Linked DNA regions of Danio rerio. The protein of the gene in region 5 purifies or fractionates together with the protein of the main gene of each other region. This does not show direct contact. Links are inferred from orthologs where the notes say so. Each region holds a gene or a part of one and is shown on either strand. Other genes may lie near its edges.

Region 1 (2,969 bases), on a different chromosome or scaffold from region 5:
ATATATTTAAAATAATAATAAAAATGATAATAATAATAATAATAATAATAATAATAATAATAATAATAATAATAATAATAATAATAATAATAATGATAATAATAATAATAATAATAATAATAATAATAATAATAATAACAATAATCAAATTTATATCTTCAACCTTTCTATCACATCAAAAGATGAAAATCTGAGGGGGAATTTTGGGGGAATGTACGTTCATTTATAGAGGCCCCTACAGTTAAAAAATATCAACCTGGAAAAAGCTGTTTTTTTATTGTCTTAATCCACATTGTAACTACAGAAGAGTCAAGCTTAAAGAGGAAAATTATCTTTTTTTTTTTTTTAGCAAGAAGCTAATGATCTATCTAGATTTAGTGATTTATGCTAAGCTAAGATAAAAGTGCACCCGCCAGACCTGGAGATTAACTGAATGGATTTAAAAATGGTTAAACTCAATTGTTAAACTCTAGGCTATTTGTGAAAGGAGTCAAAAACGATTCCAAAAAAAGGTTGTTTTACTTTCGGAGCATGAAAACAATTCAAAGTGAATCAAATTAGAAGCACTAGACACAAGTCGTACACAAATGAACAAAGCAGTTTTCTTCTTTCTTTAAAAGCCAAAAGACTTGTATTCAGAAGTTTGGAGAACATGTTCTTGATTGTATTTTTTACACTCTAAATAATAAGTTAACAAAACATTTACTTTAAGATTTATTGACCTTGTACAACTAAACCCTTTTAAAGAAACATGCCTTAAACAAATTAGAGAATAGGTCAATAGTTTGCAATCATATTTACAGTATACAAAGTACAGTTTCAATAACTGTACGAAAATGCAAATAAAATGTATGTTTTAAATACTTACACATTTAATATTCAAAGTATGTTATTTTTTCTAGATTCACTAATACATGTTTGACACTCCAAGTTCTATAAATGAACTGAAGCTTTGCTATCAATCCATTTATATCCACCCAGGCAAAAATGCTGCAAAATGTTCGGCTCATTGTTTGTATTTAAAGAGATAGTACACCCACAAAAGAAAATTGTCATCATTTAATCATACTTCACCAGTTTCAAACCTTTAGTTATGAGTTACTTTCTTCTGTTAAACACAATGAAGATATTTTGAAGAAAGCTGAAAACCTGTAACTGTTGACTTCTATAGCAGAGAAAACAATTACTATATAAGGTTTTCAGCTTTCTTCAAAATATCTATTTTATGTTCAACAGAGGCAGGAACTCAAACATTTTAGAAAGACTTAAGGGTGAGTAAATAGTAGTTAATATTATTATTTTTGATCAATCAAATGATCCATTTGTTCATGGCAATTCTTTACATTAACTAATGCAATTAAAACTGCACCTTACCGTAAAGTGTTAACAGCAATCATTTCTCACCTTGACAGTTCAGTAATGAGAAGTAAACACACGATGATGTTCAGTGCTGAGACTGACGGTAATGAAAAACTTGTCTTATCCGTTAAGACAATCTTATAGAGTAAAAGCTCTTACCACACACTCGTACATCTAAAGTATTACCTCTCAAAAGAAGTCCATAATTCTTTCCCCAATACAGGAAAGGCACAAAACATCCCAGCCTGAGTGATTAAGTGTTCCATTGCTTGTCCATTGAAAAGAAATGTCAATCATTTCTTCGCATGTACGAAAGCATCAACCAGAATACGAGAAGACCGTGACATCACTTCTGTAAAGCTAGTAGCCGTTCCCCGTTCCTTAAATTTTAAGAGAAGTGTATCCCAGCAGAGTTGAACGCATGAAGAAGCCTAGCGTAAAATATGGATGCAGAAAAAAATGCTTTACAAAACACCCCCAAAACACAAAATGTACATGAAGTGAAGCGGGTTATACTTACACCATGAAATCATCTATATCCATGGAACGTGCCCTCTTATCACTGAACTTGGACTCTTGAAGGATGCTTTCAATTTTCGGAGCAATGTTGAAATCCTCAGGGATTTCCTGCAATTCAATTTGGAAATATTTAAATATACTTGCATCTACAGATAAGTGCAGTGAAAAAGTGCAGTTTACATCTGATAGCACAAGCTGATGAAGCTAAATACAGGTGTGAAGGGGGTCTAAAGAGTTGAGCTTTCCAGATTTAGAGATGTTTGAAAATGATTTTGATTAGACTTCTTTTGTAGCATAAATAGCTATAAAAGACACCCCCACTCCACCAACTGACCCAACAATGATCAAGCTTGTATATACTAGTGGTGTTACGGATTACAAATCTCACGGTTCGGATCACGTTATTGTTTTTTTTTTGTCACGCATCGGACCATTTTTCGGATCAGTCAAAAAGGGAGAAGACATGTCATTTGCTTTTTATTTATTACAAAAACAGTACTGCAAGACACTTTTGGTTTAACAAACAGAACTTAGAACCTGTAATTTTATTAAAAAGAAAAAAAAAATCAACTAAATAAAAATAAACTGTAAAATATTCAGAACTGTGAAAAATTCACTGTTACTACCGTTGCTGATAACACTAAATGTAGAAATCTAGCATTATAATTTGTACAACCTAAATTTATTTTTAGTTTCATTTTCAATAAATGATTCAGTTATTCACTCATAAAGCTTCATTGCTAGATATGGCATCCTAAATAACCTTCCACAACTTCCTCAATCATCATTATATCTACTATTATATACAATCTTAAAGCTTTCATACATGTGATTTGCATGACACGAGAGGCACTCACTCTGTAAATGGGTAACACATTACAATAAGGTTCATTAGTTAATGCATTTACTAACATGAACAACACTTGTACAGCATTTATTAATCATAATTGAACGTTTACTAATGCATTATTAACATTCAAGTCCATGCTTGTTAACATTAGTTAATGCACCATGAGTTAACATGAACTAACAATGAACAACTGTATTTTCATTAAATAACGTTTAATAGCATAAATAAATACTGTAGTAAA
Region 2 (3,689 bases), on a different chromosome or scaffold from region 5:
CCCAACGTCAAGAATAATGTGAGCCTTGTGTGCACGTCTTACTTTTAGCACCTTTAGTGAAAGTGTAGGGATGGTCATATATATCTTGTTACCATTTTAATGGGTTGATTTCTGTATTAAATTGAACATTTTTCCAGTTTCTAATTTATGAAGTCTAAAAGCTCTTCATTTGGAAATTATATTGTAAAATTACAACTTAATCACTTCTAAACGTTTTCACTTTCTTTAATATTAATTAGGGGTGTTAACCTACACTGGTCTCACGGTTCGGTAACGATTATCATGCCATCGATTCAGTTTAATTCGATATCTCAGTGCAAAATGAGTTTTTTTTTTTTTCTCCCAACACTATTTTTTTTTTTATTAAAATCTGAAAATATATTAATATTTATATATTATTTGTAACACAATTTTGTCCTTTAATACAAGAAGTAAGATATATGAACTGTACCTTTAATTTGACCTGCTCAAAGAAAACACTCTTTTTCAAGGTATCAAACAAAACTCCCAATACATACACAGAAGACAACATGAGCATTTTTAGGCAATAAACTTATGGAAATATTATCCCACTTGCTTTGAGCGTTGTTGAGTGAGGTCTTGCCTCTATGACTGGTTATTGTCTTCACCCGTTTGACAGAAACAGCTGTGATTGGCTTTAGACATAAAAGTGCTGTTCACTGATGAGTGACACGGGAAGAACAGCCATGGTTACAGTCTATATGTGCATAATATGCAGTTATCAAAGGTAATCCACAGTGGAGAAAACTCGCACCACAGGGAGGTTCGTGTCTGGATCCACAAGTATCGCTTTACCAGCCAAGAGAAGGGGAAAAGTTAACTCATGAACAGGCCAGCGGGTCAAATATACAAAAGTGAGGGAGGGAGGGAGGGAGGGAGGGAGAGAGAGAGGCAGAGATGGCTTTTTACAGCATTTCTCCTTAGTAGTATAATAGCGGCTCATGTGCTGTGTCTTCTTCAGTCAGTCTCAATGAAAGCCTTTCCAGTAAACTCACAAGCAGTTGAACTGCAAAATTATCTACCTTTTCAGTAGTAGGAGCGTTTTATTTACTTGCCCTCTCCTACTTCGCCATAGTATTCTACTGCGACATCGTGCATAGGAGATAAATGACATCAGTATCCAATAGTTTTTTGACACCCCTAATATAATAATAACTTTAATATCGGCCAAATGTTATTTGCAGAAAAGTTAATATATTTAGACATGCATCTCTTGACTAGCCAATTTTTTTTGCAGGATCATGTACACTCTGCCTGCCTGCACTCCAGATTCAGTGCAGCCCTAACATTTTTAATAGTTCCTCCCCCAAAAATGTTTTGTTGCTGAAGTAAAATTTTCTGCTATACAAGTCATTAATGCTTTCAGAGAGAGGATTTTTTTAAATTATTATTTATTTTCCAAATTATCAGCATTTGCTTTTAAAATGTCTTAAAATATGTCATGTCTAAAAATAATAATATAATAGTACTAAAAAAAAAGCATGCATTAAAGCATATAATCCTTGGACTTCTGTAAAATAAGAAACTAGGCAAAAGTTAGTTACAGTGGAAAATTGCACATGTTGGTTTGGGTTAAACAGTAATGTAATTTAATAACGCAAATGAAAAATACATGGATTCTATACAGTTTGTATATTCTGATTTATATATTCAAATTAATTTGATATTCTATAGTAATGTTGGAAAATTCAGCAAAAAAACAGTATTATTGGCTAGTCACACTTACCCAAAAAAAGTCTAAATCAGCCACGAAAATTGCTATCGGTACATCTGTAAATTTTGTCTTCATTTTAAATGAAGCTTGTACTAGAAGTTGTCAATGTTGCTGCAACTCTATTGATTTTCAAAACTGTTCACACTCTTATAATTATTACAATTTAAACATGTACTTTTTTTCCTCCCCCTACAGAGAGACCTGGACTTTACTGTCGACATTGACTTCAAGGGTCAACTTTGTGAGGTGTCCAAGACATCAGAGTACAGAATGCGCTAGTTTCCATTAGCATCAGTGCACATGTGTGGAGCAAATCAAGAGAGCAGTGTATGCCTGTGTGTTAAACCATGACCCTTTGTTCCATGACTGCGCAGTTTTAGAGATCTTGTTTTGCAGAATGTTGTCTGACATGGAGGATTTAGAATTGTTTTGTAAGTGAACTCTTGATTTTGTGTAAAATGCGCACGAGAGGACTAAACATGGCAGATTTTACCGTGTTTTTTCCATCTTGTGTGTTAAACCTTTTTGGCCCTGCCTTTTTCAAAGTTTAGATGCACCATCTGGGAAAGGATTCCTTGAGTTCATACACACATGCACACACTTGCGCCTGCTCTTTGCCCTCTGTCTGCATCTGAGACATGTCATTCATGTATGTTTTTTTTTTTTCCCCTGCCATGCCAGCATGTCTTTGTTGGTGACAAAAAAATGCTAATCAGCCATATCTTTTGATAATCCATCTGGTAATGCCAGCATTTTTCATGTAGGTAAAACCTGTTGTCATGTTTGACTGTGGACTGAAACTCTGCCCTGTTACTTGCCGAATTATTGTTTTATTTTTTTTCTGTCTGTACTGGAAGGCAGTTGTCTTGGACCATCACTAGAGGGCGCCTCCATAACATGCCATTAGTCTGAGGAGTAACCATTTTAATTTCCATTGTGCTCCTATGTCCATGCTTTTTTTTTAAGTGCTTGTGGCAATGACCCAGTCAGAGGATAATATTGTGTCATTTGAGATGGTGCAATAATCTCCTGTACAACTCATAGATGGTGTTAATAAGCACTCTTGTAGATCTTTTGGTCTTTTTAAATCTCATGTAGGACAAATGTTCATCTGATGACTGTTTAGTTTAAGCTTATCTGCTGCTCTTTTGCACTGTAAGCACTTAACTAAGTTTCTCAGACCCAGAACTACAATATTATAATTCCACTGAAGGAAACCTTCAGCCTAAATTTTCCATAGAAATGCTTTTATTGAAAGATGATGCATTTCCTGTGTTTGGGTAACTTCACGTTTGTTGATCTTCTCTGTGTTGCTGTGTACTACAGTGTTTTTGTGGAGGGATGCAAGTTTGTGTCTGATGTCTAGCACTGGTGTGGATTGTTATCAGGCAGACATTTGTCTAGGAAGTGTATTATTTTCTTTTCTTTTTTTGAAATAAAAACATTAAACCTCATTCGTTGATTTCAGTGATTTGAAAAATGCAAAGTTGTTTTTTTTTTTCATTTCGAGTGTACAACTGATGATCAAAAAATTATAATCTTTAATGTTTGAAACGCTGCTTGTTAAATCGAAGGTGATGTTGCTGTAGATGTAACACGGGCAAATGATGAACTGCCCACCCACTATAACTGTCCTTTCAATGCATTTCGGAGCTTGATTAGATTTGCTGTTCTTTTGTTTAGTGCAAACTAGTAAGCATAGAATTTTAGTGTACTAGCCTCTGTGCTTGTGTTTTTTTCAGAGCCTTATGAGATTTACGTTCAAACTTTTTTTTTGTGCCTGTATGAACAACATTGGACATTTTAATTTTTTATTTATTTTGTGATGTGAAGTTGTGTGGTCTCAGATGAACACAATTCTTACTTTGAAATAAATAATGTAATGCTTAGCCTATAAAGACATGCGTTTGAAAAACATTTTTGCATTAAAGCTAATCTGTTATGTATTTTTTTT
Region 3 (3,500 bases), on a different chromosome or scaffold from region 5:
TATCACACAAACAAATACTTTTTCCCTGAAAATCAATTGCAAATGTGAAACCCCCAAATGCAAAATACAGGTTACAAATACAGGTTATTCAAGTGTGACATTAAATAACTTGTTTGATTGGCTTTTTGCAGGTTTTGATTCCTCCAAAAGGTCTTCTGCTGAAACTGAAGAAAGAAGCAGAGAATCCTCGAGAGGTCTTGGACCAGGTAATCAAATATAGAAATGAACACCAAAATTTAAAATTTCAGGTCACACGGGGTGTGAATGAAAAAAAAAAAAAAAAACATAAGATATTGGTAGACAAAATCATATTTAGAGTTTTTTTGTGCCCTAAACATACTCTTTGAGCTTTGAATGATTGCAGTTTAACCAGTGAAGTTTCATGGATTTTTTTAACAATGTCTTTGATTCTTTTTTTTTGAACTTTTAATGTCTCACGAGTATTGCTGCCTATACATGACAATATCTAAATCTTACATTTATGATGAGATAAAATCTTTAAATATCAACTCTTTATGTTCTAAAGAACAAAAAAGGTTTCTGAGGATTGGAACAACATGAGCATAAGCAATTAATAATAGATTTTTAAAAATCTGGGTGAACTAACCTTTAGATAAAACGTTTTAGAAGACACATTTTACCAAAGCCATTTACATTTGATCAGATCTTGCTTTTCCTGAGGAAAAAACTCATGATATTGAACAGCATGCTCTGCTGTTATAGCAACAGGAAAATCTTGTAGCAAAACTGAAGGTCAATCAGACAGCAGAACTTAAATACTAAATATGATTGATATGTTTTAGGAAGTCTTTTGATTATGAAAATCACAAAAATATCCCTGTATGTGTAGTGATGAGATTGACCTTATTAGTATAATATCTCATTGTTCCCTTGTGTTGTAGGTGAGGTATCGTGTGGAATGGGCCAAATTCCAGGAACGAGAGAGGAAGAAGGAAGAGGAGGAGCGAGAGAAGGAGAGAGTGGCATATGCTCAGATTGACTGGCATGACTTTGTTGTGGTGGAGACAGTTGACTTTCAGCCTAATGAGCAAGGTAAGCATGTGTAACACAGGATATTTAAGGGGTTCGCACAAACATTCAATTGCACCAGAAGAAAGCTCTCAATTTGTACATTTTGTTATTAGATTTTTTTTATTAATATTACTGTCAATAATTGTATTAATAGGTTAGTATATTGATTAAAATATTAGTAATTTTGTTAATGCTATTTTTATGATTTTAGTTTCAGCAATAATATATCATTAATGTGTTTAATAGTGTTTTTGTCTTGCCTAAATACTACTTTTATATGTACAGTGCAAATTATTAATTATTACTCTTATACATTTACAGGTAATTTCCCTCCTCCAACAACTCCTGAGGAGCTGGGTGCTCGTATCCTCATCCAGGAGCGCTATGAGAAGTTTGGAGAGAGTGAGGAGGTAGAGATGGAGGTGGAGAGTGAAGATGAAGATGATGAGAGGGAGGGCAGAGAAGATGGACATGCAGCTCAGCCTGACCAGGACACACAGCTGCAGGACATGGATGAGGTGAGACACAAGGCTGCACAAGGGCTCATTCCATGTATCATGTTTATGCATCAGCATAGATGAGCAGTTTGTGGAAGTAGGATCTACATTTTTCTGACTGACTAGCACTTGTTCTTTGTTTCTCAATAGGGCTCTGATGAGGATGATGATGGCATGAAAGCTCCTCTGCCCCCTGATAACCCCCTGCCACCGCCTCTGCCCCCCACCCCAGACCAGGTTATCATTCGCAAAGACTACGACCCCAAGGGTGAGATTCCCACTACATTTATTAAAAAGCATACAAAAAGGACATATATCATTTGCTTCATTCATTCAGAAAATTGTTTTATTATTGGTTTATTATCAGTTAATTCTTGAAAACGCTTGAATTTTAATCTAGTGTTTAAGTTTGAAAAGTGCTTTGATTTTTAAATAAAGCGCTTTAAACTGCTTGAAAAGGCATTACAAGGAAAGTTTATTTATATAGCACATTTCATAGACAATGGTAATTGAAAGTGCTTTACATAAACAAAAATAAAATAAACAAGTATAAGAAAACAAAGAACAAAAGAATTGTTGTTGTCTGCGCCATTAGCCTAGTGGTTAAGTGTGTCGACATATAGCAACAAAGTGCTTACGATGACCTGAGCTCAATTCCCGGCTCAAGGTCCTTTACCGATCCTTCCATTTTCTCTCTGCTTCACACAATTTCCTGTAAATATTTTCCACTGTCCTATCAATCAAAGGTTAAAAACCCCTGAAAATAATTATAAAAAAGACAAAAATAGAATTGTTCTGCTTTCATAATAATTGAATTTACCAAATAGGGGGTAATTAACTATTTAATTAAAATTAAATATATATTTTAGCTTTTTCATAAAATTAAAGCTAACTCCATGGAGATTGCCACTTCATGGTGGAACATGCATATAATTTAAAATAAATACTCATTTATTAGGATAAAAGATTAAAGATGACGCATCAAGATGGATGTGAATTACTTTTAAAGGGGAAAATGCCAGTAAATCATTGGGGCTTGGGGTAAACATTGTAAAAAATGTTGTTTTAGAATACTTTACTGTACTGTATGTATTTATAGTTACTAATAACTGTTTAACCTAATAAAGTTTTCTGATTTTGATTGTAATGCAATAATGTGCACCTTTTTCAAAACTGCTTTGAAATAATAATTAATGAGATAAGTTATATACGCATAAACATGAAATAAATTGAACTATAGAATACTATAAAAAATAGCATCTTGTAAAGTGCTGTAAAAGTATAAAAATGCTTCTGGGAAGTACTTAAAGTGCTTACATTTGAATTTATAGAAGATGTAGGAACCCTGTATTATGTAAAATTGAAAAATATGCTTTGATTTCTATTTTGTATTTATTTATTAATTTTTGTATTTTTTTTATGTCATTTAAAATTAGGTTATCCCATGAAAAAAGACTTGGATGCTGAGATAGCATTAAAGTAAACATATAACTAACTAAGTGACTTTGTCTATTTTCCCCTCAGCTTCTAAGCCTCTTGCTCCGGTGGCCACACCAGACGAGTACCTCATCTCCCCCATCACGGGTGAGAAGATCCCTGCCAGTAAGATGCAGGAGCACATGCGCATTGGCCTGCTGGACCCCCGCTGGCTGGAGCAGCGTGACCGCAGCATCCGAGAGCGGCAGATTGAGGAGGAGGTGTACGCTCCCGGCCTGGACATCGAGAGCAGCCTGAAGCAGCTGGCCGAGAGACGTACTGATATCTTCGGTGTGGAAGAAACGGCCATCGGTAAGAAGATTGGAGAAGAGGAGATACAGAAACCAGAGGAGAAGGTGAGAAGAGTTTTAAGATACCTCAATAAGTCCACAGAACCAAAACTGTGCTCATAGCTAAAAAAAACACACACACAAAACATATTTTTTGAGTTATACTTGTGTTTTTTGGGCAAATTAGATATAAAATGATTAACAT
Region 4 (4,134 bases), on a different chromosome or scaffold from region 5:
ATTTTGATTAAATTATATATAAAGTGTGGAGATCAGCCACCACTTTTTATTATTGCTTATAATTTAAAAAGGTTGGATTTTCAGAAGCTTTATAAGTAATGTTTAAAGATGCCTTTTGCAGTCCACATCTTCTGATCTTCTTTGTATTAGTAGCAATGCACAAATACTCAATACTTGTATGGCTTTATTTAACTTTAAGAGCTGTTTGCATATTTTATACAACCCAGATTTAAATTAGAGATGCTTCAAATGATCCTATTGGACCTCATCCCCGAACAAACACAAATCCATCCATTAATCCTCAATCTCCTACAAACCTACATAATCTCCACAGATTTACTCACAGGGGAAAGTCATTCCAGTACATATCAAAATACACCACACATGATTTTATAAACCTTTTTTATTAAAAACACATTTTTAGTAAAAATATACACATTTTCACAGAAAACAGTTTATTACTGCTTCATCAGTCTATTGTGGATCATGTAGAAAACTCCATGGCCACAGTTGATGTGGGCATAGTCCTGCATTCAAGGTCACCTGGGGGAAAAGACATGAAGAAAAGAAACATGTTAGTCATGCAAGATAAACACAAGGATTTAATATCAAGTTAAGAAAAAATCCTTTAAGTCAAGATCCTAATAAGCCGCGGTGTTACACAAACCCAAATTCCATCGCACCAGTTCATGTCCACTTGACTTATAGATGGTGACTAATAATGATAATTAAAAAATATTTAGGAATAAATATAATAAAATGGTAATACTTGACCAACACGTAGTGAAGACAGGTTGATTACATACCTAGATCGCAGGATGATATCCTAATGAGATATTTCAGTCCTATCACAATCGAACCCAGGTACTGAACAGGTTCCCTGTACAAACAAACTGCTACAGCTATTTTGAAGTAGTGGAATAACTGAAAGAACACCTAAATATGGGAATCAAGAGTAAATATAAAAGCCATAAACACTAGAATAATAATTAGTATATCACTGAATGTGATGCAGACTTAATTTAATGTCATAATAATCATATGCATATGCTTTGACTATTAGAGGTGTAGTGGAAACCCATTAATTAAAGTCTATAGGATAATAAAAAGATAATTAAGCTGTGAAACTTTTATTTAAAAAGTAACATACAATTGCATATCAATGTTTAACAATACTGGATTGATCTGAAGACATAATATACAATACACAAGAGAATGTTGGAAGTATGATGCTTACACAACGTTGAACTGAACTCAGATGAGTGCGTTTCTCTTCTAGTTTACTAAATAAAACAAAAATCACGTAAGCCTAATCTATCCCCATCATGATAAACTAGTTAGGAAAAAAAATCTCGTGGTGGGTTTTACAAAGACGAACACAAACTCAAAACTGCATGCGTTAATCCCCCCCATGACACTGCTAGGCAACAGTTTATATAGAAAACAAGTCTATTGAGTATGCATTTAGACAACAAATCGCCAGTGTTGAACAAAATTTAAAAACGAATCGGCTGCGAACAAATCGTTTCTTTAAAAAGAAAGAAAAGCGGGGCCATCTTGCTGCATGCCCTAAAATTGGGAAATAAATGACATATAGAGATATATAGAATAATAATAATAATAGAACATGTCCTACAACTAAAGCTGGTCGAGCAAGTCAGGTTTCTGGGAAGAGATCTTCTTCCTACCTGTTAAGAATTGAGGTCTTTTAGGTATGCTTTCACAGTGTCCGCCATCTCTTGCATGGCCGGGTGAATGAGCCCAATGTGGAAACCGAGAGAACCTGGGGGAGGGGAGCAGCTGCAGAGTCTTTCCCAACCTGCTTTAGTAGCCTCCATAACCACCCCTGCCGTAACCAGGCCCACCGCCACCACCACGGGGGTAGGGGGCTCCGCTCCTGCCGCCGTATGTGTTTCCACCTTTCATGGGACCGTAGCCGGACGACTGCTGGCCGTATCCGCTGCCAAAGTCACTGTAACCGTTTCCACCGCCATAGCCCCCCATCTGCTCACCGTAGCCTCCTCCGTATCCACCTCCGTAACCGCCACCGTAGCCTCCACTTCCATAACTACCGCCGTAGCCGCCATCGTTTCCGCCGTATCCTCCGCCATAGCCGCCCCCGTAGCCGCCGTAGCCTCCTCCTCTACCGCCGCCGAAGCCATTTTGATTGCGGCCCATGCCTCTTCCTCCGCCTCTCCCTCTGCCGCCGCGGGCTCCACCGGCAGCCTGGATCTCTTGTTTCGTGAGCGCTTTCTTCACCTCCACCTTGTGTCCGTTGATCATGTGGAACTTGAGCACGACGGCTTTGTCTGCAGAGTCGTTGTCTTCGAAGTGGACAAAGCCGAAACCACGCTTCTTGCCGGTGTCTTTGTCGGTGATGACTTCGGATTTCTCGATCATGCCGAACTGCGAGAAAAATTCGGTGAGGTCTTTTTCTTCGATGTCATCTTTTAGGCCACCGACGAATATTTTCTTGACTTTGGCGAGAGCTTCGGGCCTTCCGGCGTCTTCTCGAGCCACGGCTCTCTTCACCTCCACGTTTTTACCGTCTACAACATGTGGCCTGGCGGCCATTGCTGCATCAGCCTCCTCCGAGGTGGAGTACGTAACGAAGCCGAAACAACGGGATCGTTGAAGCTGATCGTTCTGGACCACCACGCAGTCCGTCAGGTTCCCAAACTGCTCAAAATAAGAGCGGAGACCATCATTAGTCGTTTGGACGTTTAGACCGCCAACGAAGAGTTTGCACAGCTTCTCCATTTCAGACATTTGTTTGCCGTTGGTGACCGCCGTAAGACTCGACTGCTGCTAAGAAAGAGCCTTTTTTAAAATGACTGTCGTCATGACGCAATGTTCTCTCTCGCCGTAAGACACACCCCATTCACAGGAAAAAAGGCGGGATTTGAGGAATGGTGCTAAAATTCCACTGATAGAAATTTCTAGTTTACAAATGACTACACTAAAACAAGTCATGCATTGAAGTAAACATGACAATTTGACGTAGAAACACTGAAATAAAATATTTGCTTATGAAACATAATGCAATATTTACCGTTTATTTATTAAAATAATAATAATGTTCCAAGTTCCAAGGCCATTTTCTAACACTTTTTATAAAAATGGTAAGCCGAATATACTAAATATAAATAATGTTCCAGCTTGTATAATTCCGGATGTATAATTATTTAAAAATACATAATGTTTAGTACATATTTAATTACAATAATACATGCAATGCAATTTTAAAAACTTGAAAATGAAATTTTGCTTGACCGTGTGTAGTTTATGTCTGTAAGATTAATTAATTTATTTATTTGAGAAAATGCATGTCTTAAACACTATTTCTCTACAACTGCTTTTCTCTGTTCAACTGCAAACTCAACAAATCTATAGATCCACATTCAGAAACACTCTGAGATTGTGAAGTGAGGCAATAACTAATGAAATGCAATAGACAAGTTGGAGCAGGCAAGGCGGGAAAAAAATTCAAGGCTTGGTTTATTTTTTAATAATGTGAAGAAAAAAAATCATCAGTCCTGATTACATAAACAGTATGTTGCGGTTTGAAATGACATGATGAACATTATCATTTTCGGATCTTACAAAGTACAATCTAACCGTTTTTTTTTTTTTTTTTGCTAATTTTGACCTACTGTAGTGGTTGAGCATTTGGACATGTAGAATTTTTAACTATTACTACTTTCAAAATTTCTTTCTTCAAAAACATTGATCTCCACACTGTAAAAAATATATGATCAAGAGTCGTGACAGCAAATGTTTTCAGTTCATTGTGACTTATTAAACTAAGTTAATCATATACTAACCTAAATTACGAGTTTAGAAAGCTGTTTCAAGTCAGTTTAACATAAAATAAGTTCAATGGACTCAAGTTAAATTGATTCAGCTTAAAAATTTAAGGCCACCAGAATATTTTTTACAGTTTATTATTTGACATAAAATTCACAGGCCCACCCGTAACCTGGTGAAAAGGGTGAAAACTTCCTTTTTTCTTAGGAAGTGGACCTTTTTGCAGTTATCTGCCTCATTTTCTATTTAATTATGAGATATAAAAACTGCATTTAAGTGATATTTTAAGCACTAATTTTAGCTGGATTAGCTTGCCGAATGGTCATC
Region 5 (3,500 bases):
ACTCTTAAAATGTAAATGTTAAACAATGATGAAATCAAAATGGTTATATTTAAATATGTATATTAATGCTGCACAATATATTGTTTCAACATCAACATTGCGATGTGCGAATCTGCAATAGTCACATCACAGGATCCGCAATGTCATATTGGGATTATAAGTAACCAGAAAACACGTCTCGTATCATGCGATTTGTGAAGTCGTTGCAAAAGACTTTTATTATTTTCTGTCTTTGTTTTAAAGGAATGTGACTAAGATTTCAGGAGAATTTGAAGCATTTAGGCACAAGTTTGTCGCTTTAATGGAGATGAATTGTGTTTAATTACTTAATACAGTAGAATAAAAACTGTGCAGTCTTAATTTACTTTTGATCATTAAATTTTTTAACTTCAATACTGTTAAACTGTCCAACCAAAAACCATTAACTGCACCCGCAGCTGTTTTTCAGTCATTTAAAACCCTCATGTCCCAGTCAGATCTCCAATTATGTGATGTTCACATTTATCTTGTGGATATTTCTCAGTAGTTTAGTCATTGTTGACACTGTTATTTTGTTTAACTAAGTGTCTGCTTTATATATATATATATATATATATATATATATATATATATATATATATATATATATATATATATATATATATATATATAATTTTTATTATTGTTTTTTGGATAAGATTAATATTTGTGTATAGGGAAAATCTATTCATTCATTTCTGCTTTTTATACTTTGACTATTTTGTACTCTATTTTTTTATTTATTTATTTATTTTTCATATAGTCATTTTAGAAAAAGATTTTCATATTACAATGTATACAGTATTGCAGGAAAACTAAACTAAATATTTTTCCCAATATTGTGCAGCCCTAATATATATTTTAAAAACTTATTATTCACTTAAATATATTATATTTTTTTTATTATTATTTATTGTTTATAGATTTTATATATTTTTAAATATTTTATTTTAATATATAATACAATTTTTAAAAATACCAACACAATATCAATGTTTTAACTTCTGATAAGTAAAAACCCTTTGACAATTTTTGAGAAATCCAGAGAAAATTATCTTTAAAATGCCTTTATAAAAAAAAAATTACAATAATAAAAAAAAATGGCTGTGATGCGCGCGCGCACACACACACACACACACACACACACACACACACACACAAATAAATGGACTTCAGATGCAAAAAATCTGACAGACTTTTGCATCTGAAGGCTAAGTGTATTTCACTTGATTACAAAATAGTAAATCAGCTAAATTATTTTCCTTTCTCTCAGGGCAAAGTCTCCTCAGCCCCCTCTGGAGGAAGAAGATGAAGAGTTTGATGACACAACCGTGTGTTTGGACACCTGTGAGTATGAAGATCTTACTTAAAAACAACTCGCAATATGTTTTTGATGCAAAATACTGGTGATATGGTAAAGCCTGCAGGTCACAACATCGTTTCTGCTGAATGTGCAGTCAGTCTGTAGCTTGTAATAAATACAGTCTCGTCTTTTCTCTTCAGACAACTGTGACCTGCACTTCAAGGTGTCTCGTGATCGCTACAGCGCCTCGTCTCTTACGATGGAGAGCTTTGCCTACCTGTGGGCAGGAGGACGAGGGTCTTATGGAGTGGACAAGGGCAAGGCTTGCTTTGAGATGAAGGTGAGAGTTCGCTCTTAAAGGCAAAATATGTACAATTTTCTCTAATGCTGTGCAAAGATTAATTGCATCCAAAATAAAAGTTTGTTTTGAGATATATGTATAGTGCTGCCTTTGGTGATTGCCTAAAGATAAATACAAAAAACAATGCATGTGGAATAATTACAGCAGTTGCTGTCATTGATCTTATATGAAGAGCTTGCAACATCATATGATGTCGTGTGCAGGTGCTGTAGTGCTGTCCCATTTTTTTAGGGAAAGATTTTGAAATCCTTTACCTTCACACTCTGTTTCAAGGGCCAAGGGGTAGGTGTAAAATAATACAATAGGGATTGGGCCTTGGTTGTCAGCAGAACATATTAATGTTTGCCCACTAGCAGCCATTCCCCTAATGGTGTAACATCATGTTAAAACTATCAATATGGTATATGCCGAGCTAGTGCTGTTCCCATGTTGATACACTTCTGGTGACCTGTTATTGTGAACTTTTTTTCCCTTTTATACGGTTCCTTATACAGCATCGATGTTGTAATGTCATTAAAATATATTCAGTTAAACGAACTTTAGCATTTATTTAGTTGCTCAAGCGTTAAATGAGACAAAAAGCTGTTTACTCGCACGCGCCTGTCAGAATCGGCACGCTAACGCAGAAGCTCCATTGAATACACTGGGGTAAAATAAATGCTCATATTATAAAGATATGGCAGGGGAAATGTAATTTAATGCGGTGCTGCTTGTACAATCTGAGACCCACTTTAAATCGGATATCATTTTTAAAGAAAACAGACCTTAAACGCACCGGATTTTGCATTGGCATTCAATTCGCCGGAAGCGCTTAACCCAGGTTACTGGCAAATTAAAAGTCCTATTAGCATGCTTCGGCATATACCCCATTGAGATCTCTTTAAATAAAAAATAATAATAATAAATAATGATTCTCTGTTAATCCAGAAAAAAAAATTACACGTCTTGATCAAATTATCCGGTTGATTTAGCTAAAAATGTTTGTTTTTATTTTTTGCATTTATATTTGAGATTGTTATAAAATGTTATGAATGGGAAACAATCAGATTTATCTGCTATGTACAGTGCTCAGCATATATAAGTACACCCCTCACAAATCTCTCTTTTAAATTCATATTTTTTATAGGAAGCTATACAATATTATATTTGTGCATACACATTAGATTAGTCAGTGTTAAAGGCAAATCTGGAGCTTATCTAACAAAATAACTTTCGATAACGGTCAAACTAGTACAGACAAATTTACTTGTTATAGAAAAATAATAAAAACAAATTTTAAAAAGAGGAAAAATCAAGAAAAGCAAAAAAAAAAAAAAACTATTTAGTTGAAATGTTAGAGGTTGTAATTTTTTTATTTAATTGCATTGTCTTTCAATTTCTGAATATGTTTGGTGACTAAAATATAATTCTAATAAATATATCGGTTTAATAAATCTGTTTTGTTAAAATGCACCAAAATACATCGCCTATATTCACTGAGAAATGGATACAAATATTCATCTTCAAAATGGAGTGTACTTAAATATGCTGAGCACTGTAATGGCTAAAATGGAAATAAACATACAAGTACTTCCACTGTGAGCAGGTTATCGAGAAGATCCCTGTTAAGCACATCTCCAGTAAAGGAATTGAAGATCACGATGTCCTGGTGGGCTGGTCATTGGCCAACAGCTCTTATCTGCTGGGTAAGGAGGGTCTTTATATTTAGTTCGAAAATGAATTTTTTAGAGGCGAACACCTAAATTCAAAGTGCATTCTTTATGCTGACAGGAGAGGAAGCTTACTCGTATGCCTTTTCAATGACGGCCAAGAAAACCA
Region 6 (3,500 bases), on a different chromosome or scaffold from region 5:
AGACCATTCACACACAACACATTTGTTCAAGCATGGATCTTTTTTGTGTTCATGATCTTTTGCGGGATCACACTGTTTTTCTAAAAACGTTTAAAGTGTCTCTTATGTTTAACACAAATGTGTTCTGTGCCGGTCCTTCTGGACTCGCATACTACGTGAGGATTAAGAAACTCTGCAAGAAGACTACAACTTTATAAATAGGCTCTCTCTTCTGCAACCAGGTATCGTGAGCACTGTCCTGCAGGCCAGCCTGTGAAGGTGCGTGTGTCTTACCAGAAGCTTCTGAAGTACTATGTGTTGAATGCTCTAAAACACAGACCACCAAAGGCACAGAAAAAGAGGTGAGTCTGCTATTCCAGAGCCTGTAGCAAGGTGTAATTTAAAAAGAGGTGTGTTGTAATGCATATAACAATGGTTGTATTTTCCTTTCTCTTCTTTAGATACCTGTTCCGCTCTTTCAAGGCCACCAAATTCTTCCAGTCAACAAAGCTGGACTGGGTAGAAGTCGGACTCCAGGTGTGCCGGCAGGGCTACAACATGCTGAACCTGCTGATTCACAGAAAGAACCTGAACTACCTGCACTTGGACTACAACTTCAACTTGAAGCCTGTAAAAACCCTCACAACAAAGGAACGTAAGAAGTCTAGATTCGGAAATGCGTTTCACTTGTGCCGTGAGGTTCTGCGCTTGAGCAAGCTGGTGGTGGACAGTCATGTACAGTACAGGCTTGGAAATGTTGATGCTTTCCAGGTATAACAAATACAACCTTTATGCACTCTGTGAAGCTTGTTAGTTTTGTGACCACTAATAAACTTGTCTGCCTTCCTGTAGCTTGCTGATGGCTTGCAGTACATCTTTGCCCATGTGGGTCAACTGACTGGCATGTACCGCTACAAGTACAAGCTCATGAGGCAGATCAGAATGTGCAAAGACCTGAAGCATCTCATCTACTATCGCTTCAACACAGTAAGTAGCACTCAATGGGGTTATCAAAAAACATTGTTTCTGTCACATGTGATGGATGGATGGTTTGGATTGATGCTATTCCTTGCAACTAAAGTCATCTATCTTTTAGGGCCCAGTTGGAAAAGGTCCAGGCTGTGGGTTCTGGGCACCAGGATGGAGAGTCTGGCTGTTCTTCATGAGAGGCATTACCCCTCTTTTGGAGCGGTGGCTCGGCAATCTTCTGGCTAGGCAGTTTGAGGGTAAAATAAGCTTTGTATTTACAAAGGATGCTGAAAGGTGGTGTTCTGGATTAATTTGATGTGTATTGCTGTTTAGGTCGACACTCTAAGGGTGTTGCCAAGACTGTGACCAAACAGCGTGTGGAATCTCACTTTGATCTGGAGCTGAGAGCTGCTGTGATGCATGACATCCTGGATATGATGCCTGAGGGTATCAAGCAAAACAAGGCCAGAACCATCTTGCAGCACCTCAGTGAGTCATGGAGATGCTGGAAGGCCAACATTCCTTGGAAGGTACAGTTTTGTTGCTTATAAATATTATTCAGATTTAAAAGTTTATCATTTAGGGACTGTTACTTAATTTTTCAGGTTCCTGGGCTTCCAACTCCCATCGAGAACATGATTCTTCGTTACGTGAAGGCTAAAGCTGACTGGTGGACCAACACGGCTCACTACAACCGTGAGAGAATCAGAAGAGGAGCAACTGTGGATAAGACTGTGTGCAAGAAGAACTTGGGACGTCTCACTCGACTCTACCTAAAAGCAGAGCAGGAGAGACAGCACAATTACCTGAAGGTACATTTTTGTGCGTTCTTATAAGCTTTAAACAGTTTGCTGTTTTCATAAAGGAACATGGAATAAATAATAATTTGTTTTATAGGATGGGCCTTACATCACAGCTGAGGAGGCCGTGGCCATCTACACCACCACAGTGCACTGGCTGGAGAGTCGTCGGTTCTCTCCGATTCCCTTCCCTCCTCTCTCCTACAAGCATGACACCAAGCTGCTCATTCTGGCGTTGGAGAGACTCAAGGAAGCTTACAGGTCAGGCCAGTTCCATAAAACAAACCTGAGCGAAGCTATTGGGTTGGTTTAGATGATTGCATCTTTTCTGACATTCTTTATTTTTTTCTTTATTTTTTTATTACAGTGTGAAGTCTAGGCTGAACCAGTCACAGCGTGAGGAGTTGGGTCTGATTGAGCAGGCCTATGACAACCCTCATGAGGCTCTGTCCAGAATCAAACGTCACCTCCTCACTCAGAGAGCCTTCAAAGAGGTTTGTACGCAATCACAATTTCAGCAGACATTATATAACCTCTGAATTCCTCTTGGCCTGTTACTGGTCCTAGCTTTCATATAAAGTAGTTAATTTCTTCTCCAGGTTGGCATTGAGTTCATGGACCTTTACAGTCACTTGGTGCCGGTTTATGATGTTGAACCTTTGGAAAAGATCACTGACGCATACCTGGATCAGTACCTGTGGTACGAGGCAGACAAACGTAGGCTTTTCCCACCCTGGATCAAACCAGCTGACACAGAGCCACCACCACTGCTGGTGTACAAATGGTGCCAAGGTGAAGAAGGAATTTATTGTTTCTAGATTGACCCATTTATAATTGTTCTTTTACTTTGGAATAATTTTAAATCAACATTTTCTTTGGCCAAAGACAAAAGCTTATTGCGTGATGCCTGTAATTATCCGAGTCCATATTTTGTCTTTAATTTCACTATTTAACATTTTATCTTTGTGGTTGCAGGAATCAACAACTTGCAGGATGTATGGGAGACAGCAGAGGGTGAATGTAATGTTATGCTGGAGTCTCGCTACGAGAAGATGTATGAGAAGATTGATCTGACGCTGCTGAACAGGCTTCTGCGTCTCATTGTTGATCACAACATTGCTGATTACATGACAGCTAAAAACAACGTTGTCATTAACTATAAGGTCTGTTTATTTGCACTGAATAGTTCATTTCTAAAATCCCCTTTTTCTTTATACTTTTAAGAGGTTTACTTTCATTGCATAGCTTGATATTTAGATGTCTGTTTTTTCTTTTGACAGGACATGAACCATACAAACTCGTACGGTATCATTCGTGGCCTGCAGTTTGCCTCTTTCATTGTGCAGTACTATGGACTTGTGATGGACCTGCTGGTGCTGGGTCTGCACAGAGCCAGTGAGATGGCAGGACCTCCTCAGATGCCTAATGATTTCCTCAGCTTCCAGGATACGGCCACTGAGAGCGCGCATCCCATCCGTCTGTACTGCAGATATATAGACCGCATTCATATCTTCTTCAGGTTAGTAGTGCAGATAAATAAGTTATATCTTCCTTTGCCCAGTTTAATTCTTGAAGTTATATTTTCTAATCTACTGGTTTGGCTTTATGTAGGTTCTCTGCTGATGAGGCCAGAGATTTGATCCAGAGGTACCTGACTGAGCACCCGGACCCCAACAATGAGAACATTGTGGGGTACAACAATAAGAAATGCTGGCCTCGAGATGCTAGGATGAGACTGATGAAACATGATGT
Region 7 (4,223 bases), on a different chromosome or scaffold from region 5:
AACAGGTAATGTACGGCTAAAAGGGTACAGAGTAAAAGGCGCCTCTCCTTATTTTTCCTTTCTTTCCCTAATTCTGATTATTGTACCTTGTTTGTACCTGCCAGCGGGGACTTCATTGCAGGCCGTGTGTCACCTGACCACGTCATTCTCTGGGCGTCGCACATAGCGGGCAGAGAGCACGGCATGCACGAGAAAGCGCTGTCCTGTGGTATGGTCTCTTCCAACTTCCTGTACCAGCGTAAAACAAACAAACAAAGGAGATTTTCCCCCATTTCATTAAGTTGTTGGTTTTCGTTAACAGTTCCAAATGTTTTTTTCCAGGACTTTGTTAATGTAACCTAAAAGTGATTGATAACTGCTTTGTTGTATGCTCTTTTTTTCAATTGTAGTGCTCTTGTATTTCAGTTGTGGAGCTTCAGTGATTGATTTATTAATTTATTTCTTTGTAATGTTTGGTTTTTGGTTACCTCCCCATGTAAATAATTGCATAAACTCTCTCATAATGCTTGCTTTTTCTTTAGAGGCCATAGAGAACTTCAAATGGGTACACCTCAGTGCTTTTTTCTTAAGCATAGCCTTTAAAGATCATATGTAAAGTGAGTTTTACGAAGCCATTAAAAGCTGAGAAATCTGATTTAAAACAGTTCAAGGATTGGCTAAAGTTTTTAATAACCATACCGTTTACACAGGATAAAGGCTAACCTGTTTGGGCTCGCTCCTCGATTGGTCCACAAACCGCTTGGAGCTGAGGCTTTTGCTGGCTTATGAGCTGTTCTGTCAGTCGGAGACGTTTAACATATGATCTTTAATCCTTAATGATGGTTTTCCTAGTTTAAAATCGACAGCTCAAGAAGTTAAACACTGAAACATGGACGTGCTTTGCTCGAGGTGTGGAAACCGGGTGATTCATCTCTGCTCTCTTCTCTTGTAGGTGGGCAGGTTGACTTCGACATTGCTCCTCGGAGGCAGCTTGTGTGGAATCCTGTCCTTAAACAACTATTAAAAACGTTATTCGGTCCTCTGGGGACAAATCCAGTGTCTAACCTTGTAAATAGCGAGGTGTTTCGTTTCCCAAGTTTGTCTTATTCTGTGCTTTGTTCAGATTGAACCTGTAGGTTTTGTGCTGATGTGTTCTTAAGTCTTGATTAGGAAAAGTGTCCTTTATTTTGTATTTTTAGTTCTTTTCCTGACGTTTTTGGATAAAGGGATTAAAAATTCTGAGAAAACCAATGTTTCTTTGTCGTGTGATTATTTTATACAACATTTATGACTAAGTTTTTTTAAAATATGTAATGTACATATAATAATTCAATATTATGCATTTAAAAGGTTTGAGATAAACAAACTAGATTTCCAGCCCTACAGCCAATGAGCGTGAAGCGACGTTGACGTATTTTGTAACCTTAGTGACGCCATCCCGTTCAACTTCCGGTTCTCCGCCATTTTGTGAATGGACGCCGTTGCCATCGACATTCTGAAATCAGACTAATACAAACGCGAATTTGAGCCGCATTAACACGATTTATAGGCATTTCGCTTCGGTTACGACCTAAGACGTTTTCGTCTGTAGAAACGACTGTAGCCGCGCGTGTTTTCGCCAATAGTTGATCAAATATGTCGGAGGAGCAGTTTCTGGGCGAAGACCCGACGATGAAGATGGAGGAAAATGATGATGGAGAAGGTTTCGGCGAAGAGCAGATGTCGGGGGATAATGGAGGACAGGGAGAAGCCGAGGGCTCCAAGATTGATGCCAGTAAAAATGAGGAGGACGAAGGGTGAGTTTCGGCTCCTGATGCACCATGGGAACAGACTGTAACCGAAGAATAAAATAACCTTGAGTTCATACATCGCTTCCCAATAGTAGTCGATTAGATGAGTAATTATCAACAAGGAATCGTTTTATATTAATTTAAAGTATTATAATCATTGCATTAATATTTGTGGTCATTATGCAATATTAATATCGTTATCAAAAGTGGCCGGTTGTGTAAATAACATGAATATGTGTGTCGGAGTATCGATTGATCGCTTTGCATACGTTTGTAGTAATTAATGTGGACTATCAATTGAAATGCTTTCAAAGCATTTGGTGATTTTAATGTAAATGAAGGTTTATTAAAATGTTTTCTATCTTTTGTTTAAAATATAACTTACTAGTCATATCCTAGTACAGGGTATCTGCTGTGTCTAAAATTGTCTTGAATCTCAAAAGCTAAATTTTAGGCTTTAAGAAGTCTAAATATACTGAAACATCGTGTTGTAGGTCTTAAATCTTTTTAACAGGTCTTAATTTTCCCTTGTTCATGTGTAGCGACCAAATCTAGCCATTAACAGCCATACATTCCCAATCTCTATAAAAGTCGTTTTAAAAATAACATTTATACCATAAAGTTATTATTACTTACAGTAACATTTGTTTAAAAGTTACTGCCAAGGATACTGACCTGACCTATATATTTTCATCAATAAATTATTATTATTGTATTATTAAATTTAAATACAGTGGACAAAAGGTAAAAATATTCAAATGAAAAAAAATCCTTAGCATTTAGCCTTGTATATTTCTAAAATTTCATTCATAATCTTCTTAAAAAATCTTAAATTTAACTTGTTGAAAGCGGCAGAAACCCTGTAATATTGTGTCATTTACATGCATTAACAATGATCAGTTAAATTTTTATTTAGTAAATTGATGAAAGAATAATAAATACTTTAACAGATGTATTGCCCGTCTCACTGTAAAGTGTTCCCTAATATTCGTTTGATAGTTCACCCTAAAATGAAAGACACTCAAATGGTTTCAAACCTTTTTCAGTTGAACACAGAAAAAGATATTTTGAAAAATGTTGCCAAGCTGTAGCCATTGACTTCCATAGCAGGAAACATATACTGTGGAAGTCAATGATTTCCAAAAATGTTCAGAATATCCTTTTTGTGTTTTTACAGAAAAAAAAAACTCATTGAGGTTTGTTCAAGTGGAGGATGAGTGAATGATGACAGAATGTTCTGTTTTGGGTGAACTGTCGCTTTAATGGACAGCTGCAAGTTGACTCATTTTCCAAATACATTTGCCTTTCAAATGCAGCTTTGTCAAATGTCAATTTGACAAAAGCATATTTTGAGAAACTCGGATTTAGAACTGAATGGTGTTTTTTTGTCTAGTATGCATAAATGAATTACTTTATGACAAAACAAGACTGAAATATAATCATCTATGGTCGGTTGCAGAAACTACTTAGACTAGTCATACAAGGTAGTCATTGTTTATATAATTATTATTTCCTATAAAGACTGGTCATAACTACAGGTATACACGTGTAATAGTCAATATGGAAAGTTAATAAACATCAATTATTTTGCTGCTAATCTGCAATGCTAATTTATTTTTAAAATGAAAATTAAATCTAATATTTATGGTTGTTTTAATTTTTGTAAGAAAATAATGAAATGCTTCTGTTAATCAACAGATTCTCTTGACTAGCCTGGAAAGATACTCCATCACAGTTACATTTTCAAATGCACATCATAGACCATTTTATGGGACGTAAACAAAAACAATAGTCCCAATGTATTTCCTGTTTTACATTTTTTATTTCTGTAGCTTTCGAGAATCCAAAAAGAGCCACATATTGATAAATGATGTTATGACAGCTATTTTATCAAGTTACGATTGAATTGCCTCTTGTTACAGTTATGAAATAGTTTGATAACATGCAGGAAATGTTCATGGGCCAATGACATGACCACATTGAAATGGTCTATAAGCGACTCAGACTCAAATGCAGCATTCGCGAAGACGGCATTCAGAAGAGCAGGATTTATTTACAGTGAACCGAGGTGCACTGAGTCTAAAAACACTGTTATCATGAGCTGCTTATGTTAAAAGTCACAGTGCTGCACATCACATTACATATAATTACAACCCAGTATTTGCTGTCTGACAAACATGCTAATCCATATCATGTTCTCAGGCATTTTTAGAATAAATGAAATGAAGTAACCTATTTACTCTACTTTGGTGTGTTAAGTTTATCCCTCCCGAGTTGAAATCTGATTAAAATCAGATAGAAATCACTCTAAAGAGATAAGTTTACCTCAAAATTAAAACGTTCTCACTATTTTCTCAAGCCTCAAGAGATTCCAAATCCAAACCTTTGAGTTTTTATCTTCTGTTGAACACAAAAGATGTTTTGAAGAATGTTGGAAACCTGTAACCATTGACT

Evidence for each region.
Region 1: the proteins of hnrnpua (region 5) and dimt1l purify together in Homo sapiens (affinity purification with mass spectrometry; 3 studies listed by BioGRID and IntAct, with this or other methods). This does not show direct contact. The link is inferred for Danio rerio from reciprocal best matches to the Homo sapiens genes HNRNPU and DIMT1.
Region 2: the proteins of hnrnpua (region 5) and prmt1 purify together in Homo sapiens (affinity purification with mass spectrometry; 4 studies listed by BioGRID and IntAct, with this or other methods). This does not show direct contact. The link is inferred for Danio rerio from reciprocal best matches to the Homo sapiens genes HNRNPU and PRMT1.
Region 3: the proteins of hnrnpua (region 5) and sf3a1 purify together in Homo sapiens (affinity purification with mass spectrometry; 3 studies listed by BioGRID and IntAct, with this or other methods). This does not show direct contact. The link is inferred for Danio rerio from reciprocal best matches to the Homo sapiens genes HNRNPU and SF3A1.
Region 4: the proteins of hnrnpua (region 5) and hnrnpa0b purify together in Homo sapiens (affinity purification with mass spectrometry; 3 studies listed by BioGRID and IntAct, with this or other methods). This does not show direct contact. The link is inferred for Danio rerio from reciprocal best matches to the Homo sapiens genes HNRNPU and HNRNPA0.
Region 6: the proteins of hnrnpua (region 5) and prpf8 fractionate together in Homo sapiens (co-fractionation; 3 studies listed by BioGRID, with this or other methods). This does not show direct contact. The link is inferred for Danio rerio from reciprocal best matches to the Homo sapiens genes HNRNPU and PRPF8.
Region 7: the proteins of hnrnpua (region 5) and hnrnpd purify together in Homo sapiens (affinity purification with mass spectrometry; 4 studies listed by BioGRID and IntAct, with this or other methods). This does not show direct contact. The link is inferred for Danio rerio from reciprocal best matches to the Homo sapiens genes HNRNPU and HNRNPD.

What each region holds. Positions count from the first base shown.
Region 1 is NC_133183.1:19,048,824-19,051,792, reverse strand, and holds the end of dimt1l (dimethyladenosine transferase), read right to left. Parts: intron 1,987-2,969; coding exon 1,880-1,986; intron 1,791-1,879; coding exon 1,748-1,790; 3' UTR 501-1,747; downstream 1-500. UniProt on the Homo sapiens protein: Specifically dimethylates two adjacent adenosines in the loop of a conserved hairpin near the 3'-end of 18S rRNA in the 40S particle.
Region 2 is NC_133178.1:31,168,095-31,171,783, reverse strand, and holds the end of prmt1 (protein arginine N-methyltransferase 1), read left to right. Parts: coding exon 1-18; intron 19-1,930; coding exon 1,931-2,014; 3' UTR 2,015-3,189; downstream 3,190-3,689. UniProt on the Homo sapiens protein: Arginine methyltransferase that methylates (mono and asymmetric dimethylation) the guanidino nitrogens of arginyl residues present in proteins such as ESR1, histone H2, H3 and H4, FMR1, ILF3, HNRNPA1, HNRNPD, NFATC2IP, SUPT5H, TAF15, EWS, HABP4, SERBP1, RBM15, FOXO1, CHTOP, MAP3K5/ASK1, MICU1 and NPRL2.
Region 3 is NC_133183.1:43,426,844-43,430,343, forward strand, and holds part of sf3a1 (splicing factor 3A subunit 1), read left to right. Parts: intron 1-131; coding exon 132-206; intron 207-902; coding exon 903-1,053; intron 1,054-1,353; coding exon 1,354-1,550; intron 1,551-1,679; coding exon 1,680-1,797; intron 1,798-3,053; coding exon 3,054-3,361; intron 3,362-3,500. UniProt on the Homo sapiens protein: Component of the 17S U2 SnRNP complex of the spliceosome, a large ribonucleoprotein complex that removes introns from transcribed pre-mRNAs.
Region 4 is NC_133189.1:43,441,385-43,445,518, reverse strand, and holds the start of hnrnpa0b (heterogeneous nuclear ribonucleoprotein A0b), read right to left. Parts: upstream 2,801-4,134; 5' UTR 2,770-2,800; coding exon 1,825-2,769; 3' UTR 1,689-1,824; exon of another isoform or gene 1,115-1,688; intron 881-1,114; exon of another isoform or gene 544-880; 3' UTR 1-543. UniProt on the Homo sapiens protein: mRNA-binding component of ribonucleosomes. Specifically binds AU-rich element (ARE)-containing mRNAs. Involved in post-transcriptional regulation of cytokines mRNAs.
Region 5 is NC_133192.1:12,686,454-12,689,953, reverse strand, and holds part of hnrnpua (heterogeneous nuclear ribonucleoprotein U), read left to right. Parts: intron 1-1,291; coding exon 1,292-1,365; intron 1,366-1,521; coding exon 1,522-1,661; intron 1,662-3,267; coding exon 3,268-3,367; intron 3,368-3,452; coding exon 3,453-3,500. UniProt on the Homo sapiens protein: DNA- and RNA-binding protein involved in several cellular processes such as nuclear chromatin organization, telomere-length regulation, transcription, mRNA alternative splicing and stability, Xist-mediated transcriptional silencing and mitotic cell progression.
Region 6 is NC_133190.1:30,762,322-30,765,821, reverse strand, and holds part of prpf8 (pre-mRNA-processing-splicing factor 8), read left to right. Parts: intron 1-221; coding exon 222-341; intron 342-440; coding exon 441-750; intron 751-831; coding exon 832-966; intron 967-1,075; coding exon 1,076-1,205; intron 1,206-1,281; coding exon 1,282-1,478; intron 1,479-1,553; coding exon 1,554-1,760; intron 1,761-1,845; coding exon 1,846-2,009; intron 2,010-2,115; coding exon 2,116-2,242; intron 2,243-2,347; coding exon 2,348-2,540; intron 2,541-2,723; coding exon 2,724-2,911; intron 2,912-3,028; coding exon 3,029-3,267; intron 3,268-3,359; coding exon 3,360-3,500. UniProt on the Homo sapiens protein: Plays a role in pre-mRNA splicing as core component of precatalytic, catalytic and postcatalytic spliceosomal complexes, both of the predominant U2-type spliceosome and the minor U12-type spliceosome.
Region 7 is NC_133185.1:5,488,728-5,492,950, reverse strand, and holds the start of hnrnpd (heterogeneous nuclear ribonucleoprotein D0), read left to right. Parts: upstream 1-1,423; 5' UTR 1,424-1,614; coding exon 1,615-1,775; intron 1,776-4,223. UniProt on the Homo sapiens protein: Binds with high affinity to RNA molecules that contain AU-rich elements (AREs) found within the 3'-UTR of many proto-oncogenes and cytokine mRNAs.